Coturnix japonica: one gene and its partners. The protein of the gene in region 2 purifies or fractionates together with the protein of the main gene of each other region. This does not show direct contact. Links are inferred from orthologs where the notes say so. Each region holds a gene or a part of one and is shown on either strand. Other genes may lie near its edges.

Region 1 (3,687 bases), on a different chromosome or scaffold from region 2:
TTCCTGTATCTCACATGGCTGTGAGCGAGCAGAGGGTCCTGGTGTCCCACAGCCCACGTGGCAGTGCTGGATCACAGCCCTGGTGTCAGCGTGTCGGGGCTCCCAGCTTCACAACGCAGCGCCTTCAAACATCCCAGCTGTTATCCCGGGTATTTCATGTCTGCTGAGAGGCATCGAGCCATCAGCCTGCAGATTTCCCCAGGGGTTTTCCTTCCATCCTTCACTCAGAGGAGCCGCCTGCTTGTTTTGAATGGGAGAACGTGAAGGAGTTCCGAGTACAACACAAACGAAAATGATTTGCAGCAATTCTCTGTTATTATTTTTTTTAATGTTGAAATATTTACAGCAGGAAAACCCACCCCGTTGTGCTGCTGCACACAGTGATGGGAGGCTGATGGCTGTACGTGCTGCTGGGACCACACGGGGCTGCCTCATGTCCTAATCAGTGTGGGAACCATGGAACCCTAGAATGGCCTGGGTTGAACAGGACCACAGTGATCATCTCTTTTCAGCCCCCTGCTGCGTGCAGGGTTGTCAACCACCAGCCCAGGCTGCCCAGAGCCACATCCAGCCTTGGATGCTGTCTTTTATCTTGGGTAGTTTCTCTTTGCAGACATCATTGGTTTTTGAACTGAATTCTCCACTCTGCTCATCGAATTAGCACACACAGTGTAGGCTGTGGGTTTCCCAGTCATGTCATATTGATGTCTGCTATTAAATAATATCTCTGATCCCATTTCTTACCTTCCCACTGCTGTTTGGTTGCTTCCTGCCACCACAGGCTCTTCCTAATTCCTACCCGTACAGCACCCCAAGCTGTGCACAACCCCCAGCCACACTGCAGTGTGTGTGTGTCAGCACTCAGCCCCAGCTGAGCTGCTCAGGAGATGGAGAGCATTTCCCAGATGCTAATGGCAGGGTTTCATTAACTCCTTGGCCCACGGTGTTTGTGAGCTCTCCCTAAAACATCTTGCACTGCTGGCTGGTATTGATTCACTTAAGAAAATAACCAGCAGACCTCACCTCTTTGTTATGCAGTTTTCACTTCGCTGATGGAAACCAAGAGAGCTGCAGGTGCCTCGGTGTGTTCTTAGCTTGGCTGGGGGGCACGAAGGCAACTGCTGCCACCCAGACCACAGAATCACAGGGTATCACGGGGTGTCAGTGTGTCACAGGGTATCACAGTGGGGCATTGGAGGGTGTTTGGGTTCCCTACGTGAGCATGTGGGGTGCTGGAAAATGCAAAGCTGAACAAGTTACTTCCATGGACTCCATCCCCACACCAACCCTTGCTGTGTCTCTCCCTGCAGTGCCCCGACTCGGCATGCAAGCAGGACCTGCTGGCCTATCTGCAGCGCATCGCCCTGTACTGCCACCAGCTCAACATCTGCAGCAAAGTGAAGGCTGAAGTGCAGAACCTTGGAGGGGAACTCGTCGTGTCTGGGGTACGTAGGATGACGTTTGGTGCCACACAGCTCTGCTGCTTGATGTGCTCCTCTGTGGGAGGCTGAAGGCATCGTGCTGTCAGAGGAGTGGATGTGTCATTACACAGTAATGTGGACTCCAGGGTTTTACTGCCATTATTCAGCTTCTTCAGAACGTACATCCCCTCCTGCCATAAATTAGTTATGTGAGCAGGCATCTGCCATCTAATCTGCCGCTTTATCTGCTCCCCTGCAATCTGCCCATGGGGCTGAGTGCTGCTGGGTGCTGTTCAGCTCTGTCAGGTTACAGGGGAAGGCCCCGTGTCTGCAAGGGAATTCTGTCTCATTTTAAAGCTCCTGTCAGTAGGAACCACCCTGCAAACAGCTCCAGGCCCGGTGAAGATAACACTGCACTCCTCCCTTTGTAATATAACTTCATGTTCCCGGCTGATTTAAATGTTTATTATCAGCAATTAAGATATTGCTGTGATTTTATTAATTTCATTAGAGAATAAGCTGCTTTTAAAGCTTAGTCCCAAAAGCAAACAGCGGAGCACAGATCCCTTCGGTTGCCATTAGCACAGAGCATTGTGCAGGCAGGGCGCAGTGTCAGCAGGGGAACATCACTGTGTGGATGGGGTCCAGGCTTTGAGCAAAGCCATCAGAGCAGTTGTGGGGTGGGTGCAGTGCAGAGCTCAGGGTGCTGCTGTGGGGCTGCTGGGGTCTGTCACCTCCTGTAACCCCATTCCCTCCCTGCAGGTGGACAGCGCCATGTCCCTCATCCAGGCGGCCAAGAACCTGATGAACGCGGTGGTGCAGACGGTGAAGGCGTCCTACGTGGCGTCCACCAAGTACCAGAAGTCGCAGGGCATGGCCTCGCTCAACCTCCCCGCCGTGTCCTGGAAGATGAAGGCTCCGGAGAAGAAGCCCCTGGTCAAAAGGGAGAAGCAGGACGAGACCCAGACCAAAATCAAGCGGGCGTCCCAGAAGAAGCACGTGAACCCGGTGCAGGCGCTCAGCGAGTTCAAGGCGATGGAGAGCATTTAGAGGTGCCCGTGTCGGTCAGTTTTTCCTTTAGGCCACTACTGCTACTGCCAGAACTCTGCTCTTAACATCCTGAGGATTCTCAGGAGTTTCCTACTCCTCCAAATGTATTTACTTAATATAATTTTGATAACTTTGTTTAGATCATGTGGGGAAATACTCGAATCACGAAACCTATCAGTATAGCTCCAGACTGCGGGAGTGTGTTCCTTTAGATTGCTTTTAGATTCCAGGGGTGTATTTCTAGCTGGAAACTATTTTGTATAATCTCGCTTTAAATGAAATATTCTATAACCAAAGAGGTTTTACACTAACACTAACAGTTAACGCTGATAGCTGAACCGTCCTGCTTGGAGGCGGCCGTTCTGCCTTGTGATCCAGAGGGAAAAATTAAGGCTTTTCACTCAAAAAAAAAAAAAAAAAGGTTTTACAAATAGATTATTGTGTGTATGTGGATCCTGCTGGGAGCCGAGAGCCAGTGAGCTGTGAGTGCCAACAGGAGCTGAGAACACAGCGAGCAGCTCCTGCCATGGAGCTGCATGGCACACGGCTGGGCAGGGCCGGGAGGGGCTGCAGTGCTCCCTGTGCTGCCTCCCATCCCTGTGCCCCCCGTGGCTGCTGGGGTCACTGCTGGCTTCTGTGTGACACCAGAGCGGTAATGCCCGGCTGCAGACGGCGGATGTTGTTGCTGCAGGACACAATAAAGTTGCTTTTCCCACCCTGCGTTGTGCTGTTCGTGCTGTTGGCGCTGTGTGCATTTCCCAGCAGCTCTCGTTAGCTCTGGCTGCAGTGCTGTGCGGTGATGTACCTACAGGCATCGCTTCACCCCTGTTTATTTACACACTCTGGGTGTTGGTGTGTTTTACTCCCACCAACGAGATCCCTCCTTCCCCAGAAGGCTGTGAGTGGTTCGTGGCCAGGGGTTGGTGCAGTGCTGTGACTGTAACTGAGTTTGAGAGCAGCTCCTTGGCAGTGCTTAGCTTATAATTCCATTTACCTCAATCACGGTTTACTGTATCAAGCCCTTTGCTGTCAGGTTACCAGCTGCAGGTCAGGATTAGGAGTTAATGTTGCCCATTTTGCTCCCAAGTGCTGCTGCCTCCAAGGACGGGTGACAATGCCCTGCAGTGTCAGTGCTGGCCCCACAAACACCCAGGGCCTCAATGCTGCACCTTAATGCCACAAACACAAACCACTCCTCTGGATCCCTGTGTGACAG
Region 2 (4,060 bases):
GAGTAAAGAAATGGTCAAACAGCATAGTTAATTAACGCTATTATTCATATGTCTACCTACCCGAAAATACAAAGAGGAATCTGTTACTGAGGGAAAGTCAGCGTTTCAAAAGCAAATCCGAGCAAAAGCTCAGGGTAAGCCACAAGAGTGTGTGCTCTATCAGGTGCAAACTCGGGGAACTCACCGCTGTATGAAAGCACAAACACCAGCAGCAGCAGCTTTCCTGCTCACTTTCCTTCCATCCCAAACCGCGTTTGAATCCAGAACCGCATTACCAGACTCCTCTTCCCTCCTTTATTGCTCATCACAACTCTTGGCTTCGATACAATTTCATGGGCTACAACTTTAAGAAAGCGCGGGGCTAAAGGTGGGGGGGGGGGGGGGGCTGATTTTCCTGTCGGGGCTGTCCCTCCTCACCCGAGCTCCGTTTGCTTTTTAATGCCTCCAGGTGGGCACGGTTCTCCCCGGCTCGGGGCTGCTGTAGAGCTGCGGTCCGGCAGGCGCTCGGTTCGGGTGCGCGGTACCGGTCCCCGGTGTTTGCTATTATGCAGCTCGTGGAACCAGCATCGTGCGAGTGTCCCCGGTAAAACGGAAAAGCAAATCTGCTGTTTTCTTTCTAAACAAAAGCAGGGGAGGGAAAGAAAAAAAATAAAAAGGCTCTGAGAGTGTTTTTTCTTGGAAGCTGAAGTGTAAAATAAGGTGCTTTAAAATAATGCACCATTTTGAATCAACACTTGGCGAGGTTGCGTTCCTAGGAATGCCTACAAATCCTCCCCTTATTATGTCCCAGGATGGGAGCTGCGATGCATGGACACAAAACAACTTTGCTCAGTGACCTGTGGGCGAGGGAAGCTCCTTGCCAGCTCCGCCACTGACCCAGCACTGATAGTCGCTGCTGTGACTGGTCGCTCAGCAGCGCTCCCCGTTTCCCGTTAAGCACGCTGATATTTTTTGGACGCGCGGACCGCAGCGCCGGCCAAAGCCTTTGAAAAACATCGGCTGGTAAATTCGGCAGGTAGTTTGGAATACGAAGGAGTAAGGAAGAAAGAGGAAAAAAGAGGGGAGGAGTAATAGAAATAATAAGCGACCTCCTCAGCAGCAGCACCGGAGCCAAACTTGGGACGCCAGCAGCGCCCCGCAACCCCAGGGAATGACACCCCTGGGTCCTCCCCCTCCGTCCCTCCCCCTTTCCCCCCCCAAACAATCTCAGCGAGGCAAGTTAGGAGCGTTTCTGTAATTATTTTTCTCTTTGTTCCCGTATTGCTGGCGCTGCGGGGTGCCCCAGCCCCGTGCCCGCTCCCTGGAGCGAGGCGGGGCAGCTCCATTGGTCGTAGGGAGCGGCAGCGCCCGGCGCGCACACACGCACAGAGGCTGCTCGGTATTGTTATCATCGTGCTTCGGCGGAGGGTTCTGCGTGCAGGGGGAGGGGTGAAGGGAGGGAGGGAAGAAAGAGGCAGAGAGAAAGTGGAGACGGAGCATGCAGCAGGGCTGGGGCCGGGGCAGCGGCGGGGCCGGCACGCCCGGGGCGAGGCGCTGAGCTGAACGGAGCCGGGGAGCGGAGCGGGGAGGAGAGGGGCGGGCACGAGCCGGGCGTGGGGACGGCGCCGAGGACTGCCGAGCCGCCGCCGCACCGGCCTGGCAGCAGCAGCAGCTACTTCTTTCTTATCTCGCAGCCTTTTGTTCGCCCATCCTCCTCCTCCTCCTCCTCATCCCTGCCCACCCTCTGCACCGCGGAGGGGGCTCGGCAGAGAGAAAAGCAGCCTGACCCGGAGCCGAGTTTCCCCCCCATCCTCCGCCTCTCTCCGTCTCTCTCTTCCCCCGCTGCATCGCTGCCCATGAGCTAGAGCGGCAGGCGGCAGCCAGCGCCGCGGCACCGGCTCGGGCAGGCGGGGACAGAGCGCAGCCCCGGGAGCCGCCGGCGCCCGATCCTCCCTCCGCTCCCGCCGCACCCCTCGCCCCTCTCCGGGGCTCCAGCCGCGCTCCAGGACCGCCGGGGGCCGCCCCGCCGCCGCCCCTCCTCGCCTCCATGTGCCGGATAGCGGGAACGCCGCCACGGATCCTGCCACCGCTGGCGCTGATGCTGCTGGCGGCCCTGCAGCAGGTAAGCACCGCCGGCGGCGGGCGGGGAGCGGGGCCGGGCTGCGGCTCTTTGTTCCCCTGCGGGCGGCGGTGCCCGGGGAGAAAGAAGCCGGCGGGAGGAGCGGCGGGGCGCGGGCGAGGCGGTGGTGCGCTGCCGGCCACCTGCTCGGGGCTGGGGGGGGAGAGAGCAGGTGCGGAGGGATGTGAGTGTGTGTATGGGGAGGGGCAGGGGGGTCCGGTCCTAGTTTTGTGGGCGGAAGAGGGGGTCTCTCGTATGGAGAGTGGGGGAGAAAGTAGCGGAACAGACACGGTGCGGTGTAAGGCACAGAGAGCCCCGCGTCCCTCCAGGGCAGGTGGGGCTTTGTAGCCCGGCCGGCCTCGCCGAGAGGGCACTGCGCTCCGCCGGCTCCGTGCCCGTTAATCCTTTCCCGGGAAGAATTTAATCACTCGCCGCCTCCGTGCGGGCGCCGCTCGCTCACCCACATTGCGTGTAACGGGAATTTCCAGCGGGACGAGACGGGGCTCCCGAAGTCTGTAATGTACGGCCGGAGCCCCTCCGCCCGGCCCGGGAGAGCTCGAGGTGCGGGGCAGCGCTCGGAGGGAAAGCGGGACCCGGGCCGGGGCAGGTGCCGGGCGGCAAGATGGATCCCGCAGGGATGGATCCCGCAGGGCTGCCCTGAGCGCCGGGGGGACGCGGTAGGAGCGGGTGGCGGCCGCTGTCCCCCGGCTTTGTGCCGGCTGAGCCCAGCGCGGGGGGCGGAGAGGGCGGTAAATCTGAGGGACAGATGGCGCAGATCATCGCCTCTTAATGGTATTTACTGTCGGGGCATTTCTGGCGGGTTAGGGGAGAGGCCGGAGGCCGGGCCGGCGGCGGGGACAGGGCCCCGGGGCGCTGCGGCGGCCTCCGCCTCCCGCACGGGCCGTAGCCGGCGGCCCCTGTCCATGGTGAGCGGCTGGACAGGAGCTCGCCTCGCAGCCGCTCCCCTCCCCGCTTGACCCCTCTGCGATCCTCGGGCGTCCCAGCCGCTCCCGGGGCTGCTGGCTGGCGGCAGGCAGCGAGGTGAGGCGGATTTCAGCTCCGGCCCTCAGAGGGCACAGGGCACGGGGCTGTCTGTCCGTCTATAGCGATGGAGGTGCGTCCTGTAGGGCTTGAGTGACTTCCATGATAGCAGCCACCCTGCTCAGAAACTTGTGATGTGCCACTTTAGCTTTGTTTTATGCTTGTTTTTGTCAGTGTGGAACACAGACTCCCCAAAACAGTACAGACTGATTTTCAGTGCTGTTTATCGTGCACGCTTTCAGTTCTGTGCAGACTTCCCTTCTCAGTGACTCTTCAAAGCCCACGTTCTGTGCTGAGCTTTTATTCCATCTTTTTCCTACCCGGGGCAGGTTGGAAATGAAGCGCGAGCTGTGAATTGGGGACAGGAGGGAGCCTCACTGCTTTCATGCATCACTCAGTGTCAGCGGCACGTTACGCTTGGGGAATCCAATTTCCCCCTTGTTTGGGTATCCATTAAATCAGGTTAGGACTGATTTTTAATAGTGTGTAACAAAATTGGAACTTGGGTATGAAATCAGATTTATAGACCTGGGTCTGTACAGCACGTTATTTATTTATTTTTTCCTTTCATGTGTACTGCAAAGAGTCCTCACGAACAGAATGCAGTGGGAACTTTTATTTCCTGCTTTGGTACCTGCTCCGTTTGCTTTGTACAAGGTTATCTGTTAAAGCTTCTTCTGCAGTGTTGAACCTTCCAGCTTTTTCCTGTCTCTTTGCAACACAAGAGCTCTCTGCCTTTATTGTCTGAAGTTATCGATCACTCATTTTTCATCAGTGATGTGGAAAAGCAGTCATGACGGAATGCTTGATCATAACTGGAAGCGTGTTTTAAGTCGGATCTGTGGGTTCTGTGTAATGTTCAAGAAAAAGGGCTTTAGATTTCTGGCAATGTATAATGCACATGGGATGCGAGAGAATGTA
Region 3 (2,268 bases), on a different chromosome or scaffold from region 2:
GCAGGGGGGACGCGGGGACACGGCCGAGCAGATGGGCACCGCCAAGTTCACGGATAACTTTGGGAAGTTTCCACCTCTCAGCACGTTGCCAGCCCGGCGCCCGGAGCTGCTTCCACGCCGCTCGCAGGGAGCAGCTGCCGGTGAATCTCCTCCCTCCATCTGTGCCGCTCGCACAACCCGGCTGCGGGAGTTTGGATGGGAATCGGTCGCCGCTTTTAACCCCGCCGCACGCAGCTCCATCCCGCCCCGCTCCATCCATCCATCACCGGAGCTCGGCTGCAGCGCGTGTTTATCCCTAGAGCTCATTAAGACGAGCTCCGAGCCGCAGCGGAGCTGAGATGCCAGTGATGCTCCTTAATGAACAAACATCTTAATTACCAGGAGCTGCTGCCTCCTGGCAGAGCAGACATGTCGCCATACCCACATCAGGGCGATGCCCACCCCACCCCAACGGGACCCACAATGTCCCCAGGCCAACAAAGAAGAGGCTGACGACGACCCGGGGCTGGGGGGGTTATTTTATTCTTTGCTTTGGTCTATACAAAAAACAACTTATAGAAATAATAAAATCTTCCCTTCTGGACCCACGCTGCAGTGACAGCCCGTCCACTTCCAGGCAGAGCGTGAAACCATCAGATCCAGAACCTCTTCAGAAAAGTCATCAGATAAGGAAAGAGGGAGGAAACACCACTCACCAAAAGGAGGGGAAAGGGTTAAAATGTGCCACAGAGATGGGTACAAGGACACGGTTCTACTGCTGGAGTCACTCCTCTATGGGTGCTGCGGGACTCAGTCGGCTCCACGCAGCAGATCCCAACCCCACCATCCCCAGGGCTCCAGGAGCGGCTCCGTTTGCTCCCAGCAAAGCCCAGGCTGCCCCTCGGACACCAAAGCTTGCAGAAAGCAAAGGGGCTCCTCCCAGCAGACCCCTCCCCAGAACAAACTGCAGGGACGTTAGAAAGCACAAACTTAAAGACGGCAAAAGCCGTTGGCACCATATTAAAAATAAGAAGGAAATATATATATTCATAGAAAAGACCATCCTGCCAATGAAAGGTTGATAAAGATGCGGGATTTGTGTGTTTTAAAGCTTCAGAAACTGTATTTGGATGCCGGGTGCAGCAGTAGGTGCTCGAAGCAGTCCCAGGAGGAAGGACCTGCACAGACCCACAGCGAAGAGAAAACTAAACGGGGAGATGAAACCTCTCGTGGGAATGGGGACGTTTGTCGTCAGGCACTTCTGTCTCCCGAGTCCTTCTCGCCATTGCTCAGCTCTGGGGCCGCCCTCTGCACGGAGGAAACTCCTGCACAGAGGAATGGGTGTCACCGTGGGCTCTGGGGAGCGGGATGTGGCCCCCCAGCCCCCCCAGCCCCCCCTACCTGTTGTTGTGCGGGCGGTCAGGCGAGCATATGGTCAGCAAAGGGCGCGCGGACGCCGTCACTGTAGGCGTCCATGGGGTAATCTCCATCCATGTCCATGTGCATGTCAATGGGGTCCAGAGGGATGTCACCCGAGTACATGGGGCGGTAGCCAGGGTCCATCTCTGCTGGGTGACAGGGGACACTCAGTGCCTGTGGGTGACAGCCGCCCTCCTGGCTCCCATTGCGCTGAGAGGGACCGAGAGGCCGCACAGACCCAGGGCTGCACTCACCGTCTGAGTAGGGCTCGTTGATGGGGATCATGCTCTGAGCCTGGGAAAGAAGGTGGCACACTTTGAGATTCAGGGAACATGCACGTGGCACTTGGTATCCCCATCCCATGACCCAGAGCCACCACCTCCCCTCTGCCCACCCACCGCTGCCGTGCAGGCTCAATGTGGGGGCACAATGTGGCCGCCCCTCCCCGTCCCCATGCACTCACCGCCTCCCACGCTGCGGGGTCGTGCTTGAACAGTGAGTTGGTGAGCTCCACAGACACACGCTTCCTGTAGTCGGGGTTCTTGTCCTCGGAGATGCGGAAGAGCACAGCGGCCGCATAGGTGGCTGTGGGGGGACAGGAGCTGAAACACTGCAGCAGGGCCCAGGGATCCACCTCGGCGAGCAGAGCCCAGCACAAGGCTGGGGCTGCACTCACCTGTGCCCTCATTCCTGGAGTGCAGCAGCTCCATGAGAGGAGCTGAGGCCCCTTCGGCATCAATGGCATCAGCAGCCTCCTTGTCCTGGGCCAGCTCGCACAGCACGCCGGCTGCCACGCGCTGGATGTTCTCCACTGGTGAGTAGAGGAGCTGCCGGGAGAGAACAGGGCGGTGTGAGACTGTGTCCCCAGTG

The links.
Region 1: the proteins of CDH2 (region 2) and CTNNA1 purify together in Homo sapiens (affinity purification with mass spectrometry; 4 studies listed by BioGRID and IntAct, with this or other methods). This does not show direct contact. The link is inferred for Coturnix japonica from reciprocal best matches to the Homo sapiens genes CDH2 and CTNNA1.
Region 3: the proteins of CDH2 (region 2) and JUP purify together in Homo sapiens (co-immunoprecipitation; 4 studies listed by BioGRID and IntAct, with this or other methods). This does not show direct contact. The link is inferred for Coturnix japonica from reciprocal best matches to the Homo sapiens genes CDH2 and JUP.

The regions. Positions count from the first base shown.
Region 1 is NC_029528.1:14,135,272-14,138,958, forward strand, and holds the end of CTNNA1 (catenin alpha-1), read left to right. Parts: intron 1-1,310; coding exon 1,311-1,445; intron 1,446-2,183; coding exon 2,184-2,471; 3' UTR 2,472-3,187; downstream 3,188-3,687. UniProt on the Homo sapiens protein: Associates with the cytoplasmic domain of a variety of cadherins. The association of catenins to cadherins produces a complex which is linked to the actin filament network, and which seems to be of primary importance for cadherins cell-adhesion properties.
Region 2 is NC_029517.1:94,736,742-94,740,801, reverse strand, and holds the start of CDH2 (cadherin-2), read left to right. Parts: upstream 1-1,260; 5' UTR 1,261-1,378; intron 1,379-1,453; exon of another isoform or gene 1,454-1,673; 5' UTR 1,674-2,026; coding exon 2,027-2,101; intron 2,102-4,060. UniProt on the Homo sapiens protein: Calcium-dependent cell adhesion protein; preferentially mediates homotypic cell-cell adhesion by dimerization with a CDH2 chain from another cell. Cadherins may thus contribute to the sorting of heterogeneous cell types.
Region 3 is NC_029542.1:4,293,823-4,296,090, forward strand, and holds the end of JUP (junction plakoglobin), read right to left. Parts: intron 2,226-2,268; coding exon 2,075-2,225; intron 1,984-2,074; coding exon 1,862-1,983; intron 1,693-1,861; coding exon 1,653-1,692; intron 1,545-1,652; coding exon 1,399-1,544; 3' UTR 1,381-1,398; intron 1,305-1,380; 3' UTR 501-1,304; downstream 1-500. UniProt on the Homo sapiens protein: Common junctional plaque protein. The membrane-associated plaques are architectural elements in an important strategic position to influence the arrangement and function of both the cytoskeleton and the cells within the tissue.